Linked DNA regions of Saccharomyces cerevisiae S288C. Changing the gene in region 2 together with the main gene of any one other region gives a genetic interaction. Each region holds a gene or a part of one and is shown on either strand. Other genes may lie near its edges. The genes, in order: CRH1 and TLD1.

Region 1 (4,913 bases), on a different chromosome or scaffold from region 2:
AAAAACCGTGTCCGTTACAAGATGACCCCATGGACGTGAAGTCAAACGTTAAACACACTCCTAAAATAAAAACCAGCTATTGAGCATTAATTAGTAGAGAATTCATTAAGACATTACCTTGAACTATTTTAAAAGTTGGCACAAGTTATGGAGTCGGTAGAATAAAACTCAACTGTCATCAGATTCAATGGAAACTGAACCATGAGAATTGGGGGGATAAAAGGATTAATGAGAGGTGACGTATAAAATCAAGATAAGAAACCATTACATAAAACGTTCAATTGCCTTTCTACTTGCATGTTTTCAATACCTCAAAAGGAGAATGTTTTGATATATGTTATATATCATTATTGTCTTCGCTAAGAACGAAATCTAACAATTCTATTTTGTAATTTACCTATTCAGCATATAATTGTTACAGAATTGGATTTTTATGTTCCTTGAGATAGCTTTCGATATTTTCTTCGTACAGCGTCGATGTCTCTAGTTTTTATCCAACCGCACTTTATATTTTAACGTTTGATGGTTTTCTATCTTGGCAGCGTTAGAACTTGATGACAATTTATGGAACTTAGTTTCCTATTAGAAAGGGTAACTGTGGCATAAATGTAATAGAAGTTTTCTTCGAGAATTATAAACTGTTAGAATAAGGACTACAACTATCATCTATTGTTGGAATGAAACTCTAAATTATCTTTTATTTAGTAGTATTCGTTTTACTAATATATTATCATATACGGTGTTAGATGATGGCATAAGTTATGAGAAGCGGTCATTGAAGTTAGAGGAAGCTGAAATGCGAGGATTGATAATGTAATAATGAAACATATAAAACGGAATGAGGAATAATCGTAATATTAGTATGTAGAAATATAGATTCCATTTTGAGGATTCCTAGATCCTCGAGGAGAACTTCTAGTATATTCTGTATACCTAATATTATAGCCTTTATCAAACAATGGAATCCCAACAATTATCTCGAAATTCACCCATCTCTCAGAATTATTCACCCAAATCTCAGAAGACTAAAAAAGAAAGAAATGTGGATAATCGAGTCTATAGATTCTTAATTACATATTAAACCTGAGAGGTCAGATTTCCAATAATAGAATAGCCTTGTTGGCGCAATCGGTAGCGCGTATGACTCTTAATCATAAGGTTAGGGGTTCGAGCCCCCTACAGGGCTTTCTTTTTTTCTTTAAAACACGATGACATAAATTTCCTTTGTATGAACCGTACCCTTAATAATAAAAGGAAAAATCATGCTTTAGGTATAAGACTTTCTGTTGTATTAAAATTTAGTATTTATTTTTATTATGCTATTATTTTTTTCGGTCTCAAATGTTACTTAGTGATCTACGAATATTGTTCTAAAAGAAATTTTCCACTTATAGCAAGGCTAGTAAAGCTACGAGTACGGAAAAAAGTTTTCCCTCTCTTGGTAAACTCTGAGCTAAATCAGCACCGTTAGAAATTTGAACAGAGTTTGTCGAGCTGGCTTCGGAGGAAGAACTTTGGATTGTAGATGTGTATTTGCTTGATATCTGGGTAGTAGAACTGGTCACGTCATTACTTGATGTTGCGACACCACCCTTATCTTGTACAGGACTGTCCGATGATACGGAAGATTGTTGAGTAGTTGGGGCAACTGTAGACCTAGTGGTAGAGGAAACAGTGGCTGGGGTCTTAGTGGAGGAAATAATGGACTCACTTGTAGAAGAGGAAGCCACTGTTTTCTTGGATGAAGAGGAGGATTGCTTTTCGAATGAACTAATGGAACTAGATGTGGTGACTGATGAGGAAGCAAGTGTTTTAGATGAAGTAGCGGTCGAAGAAGATGGAGATGTGGATGAAGAGGAAGATACAGAAGACGAAGAAGATACAGTGGAAGAAACCGAGGAAGACACAGTGGAAGAAGCCGAGGAGGACACAGTGGAAGAAACCGAGGAAGATACAGTGGAAGACGCCGAGGAAGATACAGTAGAAGAGGATGTAGAGCTGCTGGAAATACTACCACCGTTGGCTAAAACTGCGAAATCTTCTTGGGCTTGGTCATACCTGCCGTAAATAGAACCACCGTCAGCTTCAATAGATTCCCAAGAACCAGATTGGTCACCATATGTGTACTTTTTACCGGTAGAATAATCAGTTACAATGACCTTTTCAATGTACATAGTGAATGGAGCGTCATTGTAGTTGGTTTCACCACCAGCCCATTCAATGGTACCAGCAGCATTGTCTGGGTCACCACCGGCCCAGATACCCATCATTAGGTACATAGGAGATTGTGGGTAACCCTCACTTGATGTGTTTGATAATACTCTGACAGACTCTCCATCGAGGTACCAAGTCGTCTTGTCCATCGCCCAATCTAAAGTGTAGTTATGAAATTTGTCGGTAGGAGTGTCGACACCGTGAAATTCGCCTCTGTCGTATGTTGTGGTATCACCTTTAGAAAAGAAGTTAGATTGGAACTGAGTGTTGTCACCACCCACCCATTCAATATCAATTTCATCCAAATCATCACTTTGTAAATAGAATGATGAAACAATACCGGTACCATTGGCAGCTTTTAAGATAACTTCCAATTTACCATACATGATATAAAAGTTAGACTTCAAACTTGGATTATCGTATCTTTTCGCCAGTGTCATTGACAAACCGTCTGAACCGTACTTGATTTCACCTGCGTGCTTCAAGTCGGTAAACCATTTGGATGAAGATGAGAAATCTTCGCTAAAACTAGTTGCCAAAGCTGTATCCGGCGTACAACCTGTAGTTTTTAACGGGTTACACGAAGCAGTGCTAGAAGCTGCAGTTGTACTGTCTGCAGTAGCAGTACTTTCGGCAGCCGCGAATGTAGATAATAATGAAGAGGCACTGAGTACCGTTAGTAGGTCAAGCACTTTCATGGTTTTTTGCTGTATTGAATTATTATGAATATTATATTATCTTAACCTTTCTCTTGCTATTTAGTAGAAATGTAGAATATGGAGAGGAGTAGGCAATTATTGAAAGTTCCAAAAGTGTTTCACCTTTTGTTCTTTTTCATGTTACTAACCAGCAAGTATTTATATAACATCCATTGTTGCATGAGGGAAACCAGTAACCATACGCTCTAATTATATCACATTCCCGATTCGGAAACATTGCTTCTTGATCGAGCGAAAAGAAACTGCCCTTGCAATTAATAATGTCATTTTCGTATCCCATACCACGAAAAGCAAGCCCTCAGAGGTTCTAATGCATTATAGCTCAGATCTATTTTTACTTTCCTGGAAAACGCCATCGAAATAGTCGCCAAAAAAATCGATGGGCTGGGAAAACGCGTCATCAATTCAACCGAATAAGGAAAACTAAGCCACTTCACGCGGTTCGCGATATTTGTCCAGCCTCTTTTTCCGAAAAAAAAAAAATTAAATAATAAAATGAAACGGACAGGAATTGAACCTGCAACCCTTCGATTGCAATCTTATTCCGTGGAATTTCCAAGATTTAATTGGAGTCGAAAGCTCTACCATTGAGCCACCGCTTCATCTTGAAATATCGAAGATATAACATTTTACTTGTCTGCCGAAATTCTGTGTTTGCTATAATGTTTGAATTAGAATCTCTTAAAATAGCTACTCATACTTCTTCATAACTAATCCATTAGTGACCATATGAAGTAATCGGACGCCACACATCATTGATGTTTCACGATGGAGAATGATAACACACTAAGTGGCATTGTGGGCAAAGTAAGTTAAACACCTATTGCTCAAATGATCAACTTGGTGTTTGCACATATACGGATGTAAGTCATGACATTGAAATCATAATATGCTTTCATGATAATCATATGAGCATGTTTAATATTACTAATAAGGCTGTATTCTATACTTCTCTTATATAGAATAAGAAGATCTGCATTTATTCTTGATTGACACTACAGTTCAACAATTAATTACCAACAGAATTAATTACTACCTATCGTTCACAAGCTACTACGTTATCATACACAATGTAAAAATATGACACAAAAATGGAAAACCGTCATCAGATTTAATGGGGCTGAAACACAAGAATTCATAATGTGATAGAATAATGGGTGAAGTGTATAAAGAAGAATATATAATATTACTGTGTAGAAATATCAATTTCCCTTTGTGAGTTCTCATAACCTCGAGGAGAAGTTTTTTTACCCCTCTCCACAGATCGATACTTATCATTAAGAAAATGGGACACCAAGGTTACGGAAAAATCTACCCGGTCTACCTAATTACTCTCTTGGCGCACTAGTTTTCCGAAAAAAACAGGTAAATTCTTCTTTAGATAAAGATAAATATAAAACTTCACAGCCATTCACTCACACAAACTAGTCCCTTAGGGTGCGTATAATGATCTGTACATCTTATTTCTATATATCTTACCGTGTATTTTTTCTTTTCTCAATTCTTGTTCGCAAATAAAAAGATATTCGTGTTTGTGGAAGAACACTAGTTCCGTTTTGTATTCAACCTGGAAATTTACAATAGATCTTCATCATCGTATGTCTACCATGTTAATCTCCCGTTAAACTGTTTCACGTTATCAAGATTATGTCATCTATTCCTGGGCGAACATAATTCCTTACAAAAACATTTGTCATTACACAAGTGTAAGGGGTAATGAAAAGTAATTTTGTTACAAGTACGCAAAATTCGTTTATTTCAAGAAACACTAAGGATCGTCATTTCCCTTTCTGACCGATGTTCCTTCTTTTTGCTATTTTTTTCCCGAGTCATCTCATCGTTTTGAGTTTTTCCTAGTCCATTAAATTGTCACCTTACTCTCGGAAAAAAGAAACGACAAATGCTCCTAGTGCCGTTTTTCGAAGCTTGAAAAAAAAAATTGCAAATTATTTAATTTTGCTGCTAAGGAGTTGAAGTAGG
Region 2 (11,698 bases):
TACATGCCTTCAGAAATTAAGCAGGGAGGCAAAAGATAATATTTTCTCATATGCATTTATAGCCGAGCCTTTTTTCTTCGCAGTATGCGTTTGTTTTATAGTAATTTAATGATTTTTATGTTTTTGAACACCGCAGTCAAGAAAACAGTAGGAAAAAAACTGCGGGCGTCTTTCATACTGCCTTTAGTAGTAAGTGTAATTTTACAATCTATACGTACCGATATATATACATATATTAATGCATGCATGTATATGTATAAGCGTTGCTTTTATTTCAGTTTTTTCGTTAATATTAGATCTCGCGGGCATTTTCAGATGTAAGCATGGCTGCATACTTGTTTCTCTTTTCTGAATCCTCCTTTAAAAGCTGCAGTATTTGATCAGTTATTTTCTCAATAATGCTGTAAGCCTCGTGACAACATTTCATTAGCGTCAACGCATCCATTGGTAAACCACCCGCTTTGGAAACTTGTACCACTTCACGGTTTTTGTTTAGCGTAACCGTCAATACACCATCTCGCAGTAGTTCCTCTTTCAATGTTGCATCAATGATGGAAATTTCTGAGTTAGTCTCACCTTTTATGTTTTCCTCGGTGTCTTGAGGATTGAAGAAAGAAAAAGTTACACATATTGGAATATGCAGTATACCTAGTGGAACTGGCTCTCTTTCATTAACAGGATGAACAATGATCTGCTCGCCATGGACAGTTATATCTGGTTTCTTAAAATGCATCAATCCTGCCATGACGGCAATACACGAAGCGTCAATAAATCCACCATCACAATCCAGGAAATGTACATCAGCTCTCACAGCCCAGCATTTACTGCCAGCAACGATACATAGTCCTTCCACGTCCAATGCGCCCGACCGCCTAACAGATTTTTCAATTATTCTTGAACATAAAACTTCATCTTCCCCCGTGATATTTCCATTTTCAAATTGAGAACCAGCCATAGGAGATATTTCTGTAGATATTACAAATAATCCTTCAAATGGCCTGTCTTCGTATGGTTGTGCTATTTGACAACTAATCCTGCAGTGAACTTTGGTGTTGCCCATTTTTACGCTAACATCACCAAATTCTTTACCAAACGTTATTTCCACGTCACGAAATTGATCAAAGGAGCGGCCGTCCAACCTATAATTCTGTCTCAGTGCTTCTAAGATAAATTTTGACTCGGATGCGGATATCTCAATGTCTTTGGCCATTTGTCTTTTAATCTAATGTATATTCTGAACAATTTTGCAATCACTACGTCCTGTTGATTAATGTATCGAGACTGAAAGTTAGGAAGTTAGAAAAAAAACTTGAAAGTTGGTAAGGTAAATACAATCTAGCAACCGTTTCCTATTCCTTTATATTCAGACATTTGTTAACATCATCGAGGGAAAAGTTGTTAATTTTTTCTTGAATTCGAGAAAGGAAAAAAAAGGTAGCCCATTCGTTGGTAGTGACAATATTGTGTAATTATCTCGCACTGAGGTCATCACCACCGAGTTATAGCATTCAAATTGCTGTTTAATTATGATACTAGCTACTTACGTTTAAAAAATCCATCAATGGCCCCTTTTCCTATGGCTACTTTTGGTTTTTTATTTTGAACTATTTTTTTGGTAACTTTTTTCACTGGCAATGAAACCCTGCCATTCGAATTTAGGCCTACATTCATGGCACTTTTCATCAGTAATTCTCTTTCAGCATTCTGTAATTCGTTCGTAGTCTCGTAGTTTTCGAGTTCTATGAAGCTAGCTTTTATATCCGGATTTAGGCAACCACTATCCATTGTAGGTGAAAAGGTAAGTAAATTATGGTAGGCCGCCCTTGGAATCAGGGAAACTAAAAGATTTGTAGCCATAACTACCTTGTAGCACTGTTTTATTTCCGTTGGGGCATTTTTAAGTGTAGGGATACTTGGAGGAAAGTTTTCTACAATTTTTGATACCTTGCCTAACAAAAATTGTGTTATCATTGCAGATGTGATCTTGTAATAGACGTCACCAGCTTCCTCAATGGTTTCACTAACTTTTGCTAAGCCACTCTTGAGACGACTTAAAGAAATGTTTTCCCAATTCTTGTCATGGTTATCCGTTAAGAAATCATGGTAATCACGCACCGTAAGAAATTTCTCATTGGTTTTGCTGTTGCTTTTTTGGTTTTCACCAGTATCACTTGAATTGGAGTAATCTTGTTCATCTGCTGAAACACTGTTTCTATAGTAAAATCCAATCAAACTAAAAGCAATATCGTATAAAGAACAAAAGTGTATTTTGCTTGAGTTAAAAACATAACCATCGGTGGGATCAGACGTATTTACAATGAAAGTTGATTTGATCGGGTGATTTTCCTTAGTATAGTGATATTTATCATTTGCCAAATCTTCCTCATGTGAATACGAGGGCCCTTTGCCGAATTGAAAAGATCTTATTTCGTAAAGTTTTCCATTAATATTTTCGAAGAGCTCGATACGAGGTTTGGATGTAATATTGGAAGGTGGCGGCAGTGTAAAAGTGTTTATAGTTTTCGAAGTTTCATAATCGTCTGGTAAAATTATTAGTCGTTCTTCCCCCCCAATGTTGGAAACGGTCATGCTTTTTGTTCGAGAGGCCAGAAAAGAAAGTCAACTATTGCGACAGAATAAGATTAAATTTGTACTCGATTTGTTTCTGCTGTTGTACCAGAATCATTAACCAGATCTGACTTTAATTCTCATCGCGCTCGTGCTTTTGACAAACTTGTGAGAATGGAGTCTGTAGTGCCTTAAAAGGAAAAAAACGCGTTGTGGTTATGAATATGAGATTTCATAATCCAACTATGGCATCGACAACATTGAAAAGATAATGAGCTGGAAGTTGCTCCATTTTTTACCTTTTGAAATTTCTTCTTATATGTATATGCTCACTTTACTGACTAGTAAAATGTCGTGAAAATTTTTAGAGTTCCATTTTGGCTCAAGACAATGGCGCTACGAAGAAACGCCATACTTAAATTCCCCTCATGAACTTAGAAATTCACGAAAGAAGCTGAATCTTTACAGAATAAATTTGTAGAAGAATTTTTCTGTTCTTTTATGCTTTATTCGTTGCTGCTGTTGATAATCAGCGATAGCTGAATTTATTGAATAGAGAGGCCGGGAAACTTCGTGCTACTGTAGAACTGAGATATAGAATACATCACAACTGGATGTATTAGACAAGTTTAATTTACTAGGAAAAAAAAGCTCAGAAACTTACAATTCTAATTAATGACTAGAATTTCATATATGAATCCTAATTCAACGTGAAATTGGTGGACTTTTCAACTTGTCACACTCAAGTAGCTCATTGTTTCTTTCTCTGCTCTTAAAAATGACAATGCCACGCAAACATACGTGTGTTAAATAATGATATCAGCGCCAGATGTCACTGAATGTCAATACTTTAGTTATATCTGCAACGGTATGAGAAATAGGCGAATTTTAAGAGAACTGTTCGTATTCTATCGTTGCTAAAGGCTACAGTATCTGGTATACAAGATATATTAGAAGTTTTTCTCGAGAATTTAAGAATCCACAAAACCAAATTTGTTGGAGCGAATCGTAATTAACAGTGTTGATAGTTAGTAGTTAGGTTGTAGTATTGATTAAGAATAAAAGCAGATATTCTTATTCTAAAAGAAAGAGATATAAAATACACTCCGACTGGACATATTAAACCTTGCCGATATAGCAATGATGAGAGTAATTCTTATGGTTAATGTCACGAGATGAATTGTTATATTGCAAGCATCAGATTAATCATTCAGGTAATAGATCATTGAGTTTACTGTACCCAGATTATTATGTAGCTACGTATCATTCTCCAGTCTGAAACATTAAAGACGCATTGCACATCTGATTACTTCATTTGATTACTAATCGACTATTCATGAAGAATAATAAGTCAATATTCTCACGAATAGTAACTTGAGTTACTATAGTAACAATTTAAGTGTCTCTACTGTATATTAATGCAAACCCTACATACTTTTAAGTCCCTGTTGGACAGGGAAATGTTAAACGAGGAACTCAAACAGTATAATAGCTGAGTTAAAGATCCATTAATTGGAAATACTGCTATAGTCGAATGTACGAATAATAGTAGTCGCCAATTTAAATGTATAGTAACTGCTAGACCCACTATTATGTTCATGTTTAATAAGAACAACTGGCCTGTATTTTCTATATTCCTCTTATATAGCATGAGGAGATTTGCTTTTATTCCAAACTAATACTACATCCTGACCACTGATTATTAATAACACCAGTTTTCATATTACTAATACATTATCATACATGATGCAAAAATACTTTATAAACGGCGAAAAACATTTATCAAATTTAACAGAATCTGAAAATGCAGAGACTGATAATTAATAAAATAAAAACGGTGATTTTTTAAATGAAAGAGGGAATAATGATATCATTATGTGGAATGATCTGCTCCTTTTTGTATTTCCAACAATTTCAGTAAAGTCGTATCTTTCCTACCTAATAATATTGCCATAACAAATAATTTAGCCCCTAAATAGTCATAAGAGAACTCATTGAGAGTCAAAGAAAATCATATTCCCTAACAGAACCTTGATTTGCGACCGAATAATTGGCTTTCTTCATTACATAATGAACGTTTCTTTTAGGTCAAACTATCACCAAGGTACAATCCGATGTAGTGTAACGGCTATCACATCACGTTCTCACCGTGGAGACCGGGGTTCGACTCCCCGCTTCGGAGTTTCTTTTTTATTTTCTAGAAAAATTCACATGCTGATTCATTTACCGTTACTGTTTCACTGTGATGCTACTAGTCATATTCTTCTTATATCAATTTTTTTTCTATTGCTGTTTGCATTACCGCAACATACGATGGGAATAAACAGCACAAGCTGTTGTGTACATTTTTCCTCATCATATAACTACAATGTACATAAGTTAGCTTGAAAAAATTCTAGGTCTCATATTAATGCTTGAAATATGGAAGTATGTCGAATGTTTTATAAATAAGTCGAGAAAAATGGTTATGCTACCAGCTAACTTATATATATATAAGACTCTTTCATTCTTTTCTTTGTCTCTCAAACTTATATTTGTTTACGTTTTGGAGGAAAACTAATTATTTTTTTAATAAAGTAAACATAGCATTTCCAAGGTGCAAACCGATCCCTACCACCAAAATAAGCATACAAGACCGTTACAGCGTTAAGACAAAACTATGCTTCTAGGGGGGGGGGACAAAGCAAGGAAGATTAAAATGAATTCTTCAACTTAGGGGTACTTTAAGAGAAAGAATTCAATACTTGCGTTAGCTGACCACCCCATAGTTCGTTTAGATAAGGATATGGTGTGAAATTCATAGTTGAAGACTCTTGAGGAGGTAGGGAACATCTCTCTTCGCCCACCAAACCCAGTTTTCTCTAATACTCCATATCCAAAAAAGTGTAGCTCTATGTACATTGCCAAGGTTTTCTACTGATCAATATTTGATGGAAAAATATGACATAAGGTATGCGTATTAGTAAACTATTAGGGAGCCGCCGGTACTAATAACATCAAGGCCATCTCACGCCGAGACTTACTTGGACTTTTCTCTATTGTAAAGCGGAAAAAAAGTTATCACCCCGCCCCCTCCTCCGCTCCTCCACTAAAACGATCAGCAAATGGCAGAATAACGCGGTACTAACCAGTTTTTCCGTTCCTTGAAACCCAGTCATACTATGAAGTCCCTAAAATTATTCCGAAATTATTCCCTAGAACAAGCGGGAAAAAGGTCCGGGGAAATGGAGTCCGTGCGAGTTTTGTTAGGATGACTGCCCCACACATTTCCTCATCTTATAATTTTGTGGAAAAATTCATCGTGAGAGAAAATACGAGTCCATTTCTCCAGTGAAACTACCGTAGACATGGAATATCTGCCATTCTACCCCTTATTCAAGTGCCTTTTTTTTTTTTTTTCATCCCACATTTTATTGCTGCCTCAATCTCCATTAAGAAAAAAAATTTATATAACCAAATGACATTTTTCCTTTCTTCTCAAACTTTGTAATGCGCCTGTAACTGCTTCTTTTTTTATTAAAAAACAGCATGGAGTTTTTTAATAACTTAAGGAAACATACAAAAAGATTTGTTCATTTCACTCCAAGTATTTTTTAACGTATATTGAAAGTTCTCAATAGCGAAACCACAAGCAGCAATACAAAGAGAATTTTATTCGAACGCATAGAGTACACACACTCAAAGGAATGTTTGTTTCACCACCACCAGCAACTTCGAAAAACCAAGTTTTACAACGACGTCCATTAGAATCGACTAACAGTAATCATGGGTTTGCAAGCTCCCTACAGGCCATTCCGGAAAACACGATGAGTGGCAGTGATAATGCTTCTTTTCAAAGTTTGCCACTATCAATGAGTAGCTCTCAATCCACGACTTCTTCGAGAAGAGAGAACTTTGTGAATGCTCCTCCGGAGTACACTGATAGAGCTAGAGATGAGATTAAAAAAAGATTATTGGCCTCCTCACCTAGCAGAAGGTCACATCATTCAAGCAGTATGCATTCAGCGAGCAGGAGATCAAGCGTGGCTGAAAGTGGGAGTTTACTTTCGGATAATGCCTCGTCTTATCAATCAAGTATATTTTCTGCCCCCTCTACTGTGCACACGCAACTAACTAATGACTCTTCGTTCTCCGAATTTCCTAACCACAAGTTAATCACGAGAGTGAGCCTGGATGAAGCATTACCCAAAACGTTTTATGACATGTATTCGCCAGATATTCTATTAGCAGACCCATCCAACATTCTCTGTAACGGGCGTCCCAAGTTTACCAAGAGAGAGTTATTGGATTGGGATTTAAACGATATAAGATCGTTATTGATAGTCGAGAAGTTAAGGCCCGAATGGGGTAATCAACTACCGGAAGTAATAACGGTGGGTGATAATATGCCCCAGTTTAGGTTACAATTATTACCACTATATTCTAGCGATGAGACCATAATCGCAACGTTAGTCCATTCGGATCTGTACATGGAGGCTAACTTAGATTATGAATTCAAACTAACCAGCGCCAAATATACAGTAGCGACCGCTAGAAAAAGACATGAGCATATAACTGGTAGAAATGAAGCCGTCATGAATTTGTCGAAACCGGAATGGAGAAATATCATCGAAAATTACCTCTTAAATATAGCAGTAGAGGCACAATGCAGGTTTGATTTCAAACAAAGATGCTCCGAATATAAGAAATGGAAGTTACAACAGTCCAACTTAAAAAGACCGGACATGCCCCCACCAAGCATAATACCGCGGAAAAACAGCACAGAAACAAAATCGCTTCTGAAAAAGGCTTTATTGAAGAACATTCAGTTGAAAAACCCCAATAATAACCTTGATGAATTGATGATGAGATCAAGCGCCGCAACAAATCAACAGGGAAAAAACAAAGTCAGCTTATCTAAAGAAGAAAAGGCTACGATATGGTCGCAATGTCAGGCACAAGTTTACCAAAGATTAGGATTGGATTGGCAGCCGGATTCAGTATCCTGAAGATACTAAAAAGAAACCTTCCCGATGGTTTTTTTGGAGACTCTTCGATTGTATCAATACTATCCCATGGACATCAGTTTTAATAGAGGAGCTCCAAATTCCCAAGGAATTGAGGAAGAAGCGCCAATGATTTATATATACAAACTAGCTGTTGCAGCTTTATAGAGATTTAGTAATAAGAATTTTATGGGAACGTGGTACCGTTATCGCAGTAAAGAGTCAAGGGTAGCGAAGATCAAACCATACGATGACGAAATACCTTTAGTTCTTAGCATCACCAATCGCAGACATCCAACGTATCCGTGCGCGTAATCCTTCTCTTGGTAGTTGAGCACAGCATACAGAAGAAGCCGCGCGCAAGCGGTAAATGTCTTTCCTCCGGCCTTCTAACCACCAAAACCGATCTCGGAACATGGGGGGGGGAAGGTCCTCTGAATCGAAAAACCCGAGACAGCGAGAGGGATTTTGCAGAAAATTACAAAGATCACTATTTACTGCTCCCCTCACTTCCGCAGTCCCCTAATAGCGGAAGATGCAATGGGTGTGGGCTCTGGGTGCCCTTTAACCACGCCCTCAAAAGGGGGTCCTGGTTATTTTGCGATGGGCGCCTCTATAAATACAAAAGAGGAAGTGAGTGTTTTTGTTTTGGAAGAGGGAAAGGAAAAAAAGAAGAAAATTTACTATCGGTTGTTGTTTTTCGCCAGTATAATACAATTGATTATACATTTTGAACTAAACAGCACAGCACAATACAACAATGGATTCTGCCAAGATCATTAACATTATATTATCCCTTTTCTTACCACCAGTCGCCGTTTTTCTAGCCCGTGGGTGGGGTACTGACTGTATAGTGGATATCATTTTGACCATTTTGGCTTGGTTCCCAGGTATGCTATATGCCTTGTACATTGTCCTACAAGATTAAGCTCATTCAATAAACGAAAGTAACTATCAAATGAAATAAGGAAGCAGTATTAGGAAACGGTATCAACATGTTCGGGTCACCCTCATTTTTATTTGTTTCCTTTCTTTTTTTTTGTTTCTCTTTCTCTTAAGGTTTCCTCCCCCGCTGTTAATTTTAACTACGTGTGTATTTTTTAATAATTAATTTTATCACAAAAAAAACTTCTCATCTTTTTTGCCTTTTATCATTTTTGTACTTTTTTCTTCGCTTAAAATACACATGATATAGACGCTTAACTATCTGTCCTGCAAGTTTGTTTATCTATATAAATATAGCCAGTATCATCCGTTTACCTGTGTTGTAGAGTTCCAAAAGATAGAACAGCCTTTTATCAGATGGGTGGCAGACCCTTACCCATATTATCTCTCTTATTTTGTTTTTATTTCTCTCTAGCCTTATAATTATTTTTAGTTTCCTTTCTGTAGCAATAAGTGTTCTTAGCAGTGGCGTTGCGTTGCCTTGACCTTGATTATCAATTTAAGCAGCTTTCTGCTCACAAGCCACTTCAAAACGACTCGTGAATGATTTTTCGATCAATGATATCTTATCATAATTCGGATTTGATAGGAAATCATCATCCTCTTCCTCGTAGTAGGCGTCTTCCCTCCTTTCATTAACAAGTTTATTCTGCTTCACAAATGTAACTGTACTAGTTGAATTCAAACGCCTACTTTTGTTAACACTACCTGAACTAATATCATATTCCAGACCAGCTGTAGTATGATTGATCAATGATTCTGAGGATTCATTTAGCATATTAATTATCTCCTCATCAATAACTATTTCCTCCTTTCCGCTTATGGGACCACTGGTCTTTTCTTTTCCATCTGCCACCGGTAATGATGATCTATTGTAGTGGAATAACTTGCAACCGTAATCAAGCAACCTGCACATGTAGAGGAATAGATCGATCGCGTCCAGTATGATAATAGGCAACAGCAATACGATGACACCCAAAGAGCACATCAACTGGAAAATGCCAAACATTAACATCAGTCCTGATCTTATTTCGGATAATATCCCGCAGTGCCACGTCAAAGATAGTACCTTATCAAAGGCGTGGTTGATAATAACAAGTGCTAATCGGCTATTTGACATGATCTCTTCCTTTCCTGATGAGTTCTTGGTATCGTGATCGATCACAGTTGAACCTATAAGTTTTCTAAGCTTCGGGAAAAAAAACATTGTAACTAAAGGCAATAATGGATGCAGATGCCTGGCAAGGAAGGAAGAAAAAAAGACAATAGAATGCCGTTGGTATATATTCTCCGGCTGCCCCGTCAAAGGACTTCTAAAAACTAATATCAAGAAAATCAAAAAAAAAAATCAAAAAAAAAAATAAAGGAAAAAAAAAGATCTCTATCTTTATGTCGGTAGATATGACACTCCCTTCACGTTTATCATCTCTTGAACCTTTTCTAGTTCATCTACACCGTTCCTATTATCTTTCTTTTGCCCCCTTCTCTTCCCTCGTACATGTTTTCTTGCCTTTTACATTCCTCACGCCCTACTGACAGCTATTGCACTTTGGCGGCACCACTCAGCCAGACTGCCCGTACCCGTACGATGACCTTCCATGCAGCCACGGCGAAACGCAAGACCGAGCATTCGGGAATCAAGGAATCTAACTTGCATTTGTCCCGGGTCCTACTAAGCTCTTTCTGCCGTGCAAAAGGACGTTTCGTTTCGTTTTTCATATGCTATCCATTTCCTTTTGGGCTAACTAGGTTTCCGCGGGTTTTGTGGTCAATAGGACTCGACAAATCATTATTTACGCGCGTGCATTTTTCGCCATCATTCTTTTCCCTTCTTGCACCACTACAATTTTCCGGGATTGTACGATCGTAGGAAACTACTTACCGTCAGCGTTGCTCAAAAAGGCCCACATTATTTTCTTCCGTTAGTCCTGTTTTTATATTGTCCTGAAGTTTCCCGGCGCTAACTTCCTGGCTTTCCATTGAGTTTGAATTGTTGAGTAAAAACTAGTGTGCCATTGCTAGATGAACGTCATTTCCGCCCACACATCGACTGATGAATGACTCCATTTTGAGAACTAGATATACAACAAAGGCAAATAAGCGCAGAAGAAGCAATGGTGGTGTCTGTTCATTGCGAGCCCAAACGCACTTTGCCGAAAGAGTTAATAAACATTACCGCTATACACTACGTAAAACTTAATTCTTGTCTAGATGGATGAACCTGCTTTTTTTCATCTTTAGCGTCAGCTGCAAATAGACCACAACTATCAGTGCCAAAGGCAGATTTGTATCCACCGTCGTCCTTGGCAGGTAACCTATCTGCACTGTCACGCTGAGCCTCCGGCACTTCAGTATTACCGCCCTGGTTCTTCCTTTCTTGATTCGACGTATTGGTTTCGACATCTTGCTCTTCTTCTTCCTCGCTTTCGTCGCAGTTTAAAACGTCAAATAAATTGTTTGAAGGCTCATTTCTCTTCACAGTGACGGGAATGCGATTATTCTTCAATGACTTCGCAACAACTTTCACAGCGGCGCCTTTTAAGCTGTTAACTCCCTTTTCTTCTCCCTTCTCCTTTTCCTCCTCTTTTCCCTTCTCTTTTCCCTTGAGTATACTATCTTCGTTTGATAAAATTGTATTATGGCCCTCTGCAACAGCCACGTTCCTAGTCGATTCGGCGACTTCTCTATTCGATCCGGGGGTGCTAATGTTGCCAATGTGTTCGGCCAAAGAACTTAGTTCTGATTCAATTTTTGAAATTACCATGGAGCCATTTATTCCTTGACCAGAAAATTCGTCTTCAATATCATCGAATATTTCACGTTGCAAAATCTCAGACACATTTATTTTACTATAGTCTTCCACACTTATCGGCTTCATTGGTAATGCAAAGTCAGTGTTTTCCTCCGGACTTGAGTAGTAGAGTAAAGAATTGAATGCCGGCTCCAAAACCCCTTGGGAGGCAATTAAAATGGCTTTAATTAATGTATCATCTACTTCTGGAAATGCTATCTTCAATTCTTTCAAGACACATAATTTCTCTACTGAGGAAACTAAATCGCCTATGGTGGGATAATCGAGAATATTGCTGTCAGTTTTCGTGTTTACATGTTCCTTTGTAATTAATGGAAAGTCAGTTTTCGGGCTACTTTCTTTTTCTTCAACGTTTGTATAGTCTTGCGATGGAAGCTCCAATCCCGAA

The links.
Region 1: of TLD1 (region 2) and CRH1, extra expression of one rescues a mutant of the other (dosage rescue), as found in Saccharomyces cerevisiae (one study listed by BioGRID).

The regions. Positions count from the first base shown.
Region 1 is NC_001139.9:875,281-880,193, forward strand, and holds CRH1 (transglycosylase), read right to left. Parts: upstream 2,913-4,913; coding exon 1,389-2,912; downstream 1-1,388. UniProt on the Saccharomyces cerevisiae protein: Dual chitinase/transglycosylase that plays a role in cell wall architecture. Chitinase and transglycosylase activities are coupled. Required for the polysaccharide cross-linking at the septa and the cell wall.
Region 2 is NC_001136.10:1,010,259-1,021,956, reverse strand, and holds TLD1 (triglyceride-associated lipolysis regulator TLD1), read right to left. Parts: upstream 9,706-11,698; coding exon 8,998-9,705; downstream 1-8,997. Other genes in the region: exosome non-catalytic core subunit RRP45, read right to left, coding at 293-1,210; RNH202 (Rnh202p), read right to left, coding at 1,537-2,589; MTH1 (Mth1p), read left to right, coding at 6,255-7,556; PMP3 (Pmp3p), read left to right, coding at 8,314-8,481; YDR274C (uncharacterized protein), read left to right, coding at 9,997-10,368; DON1 (Don1p), read right to left, coding at 10,684-11,698.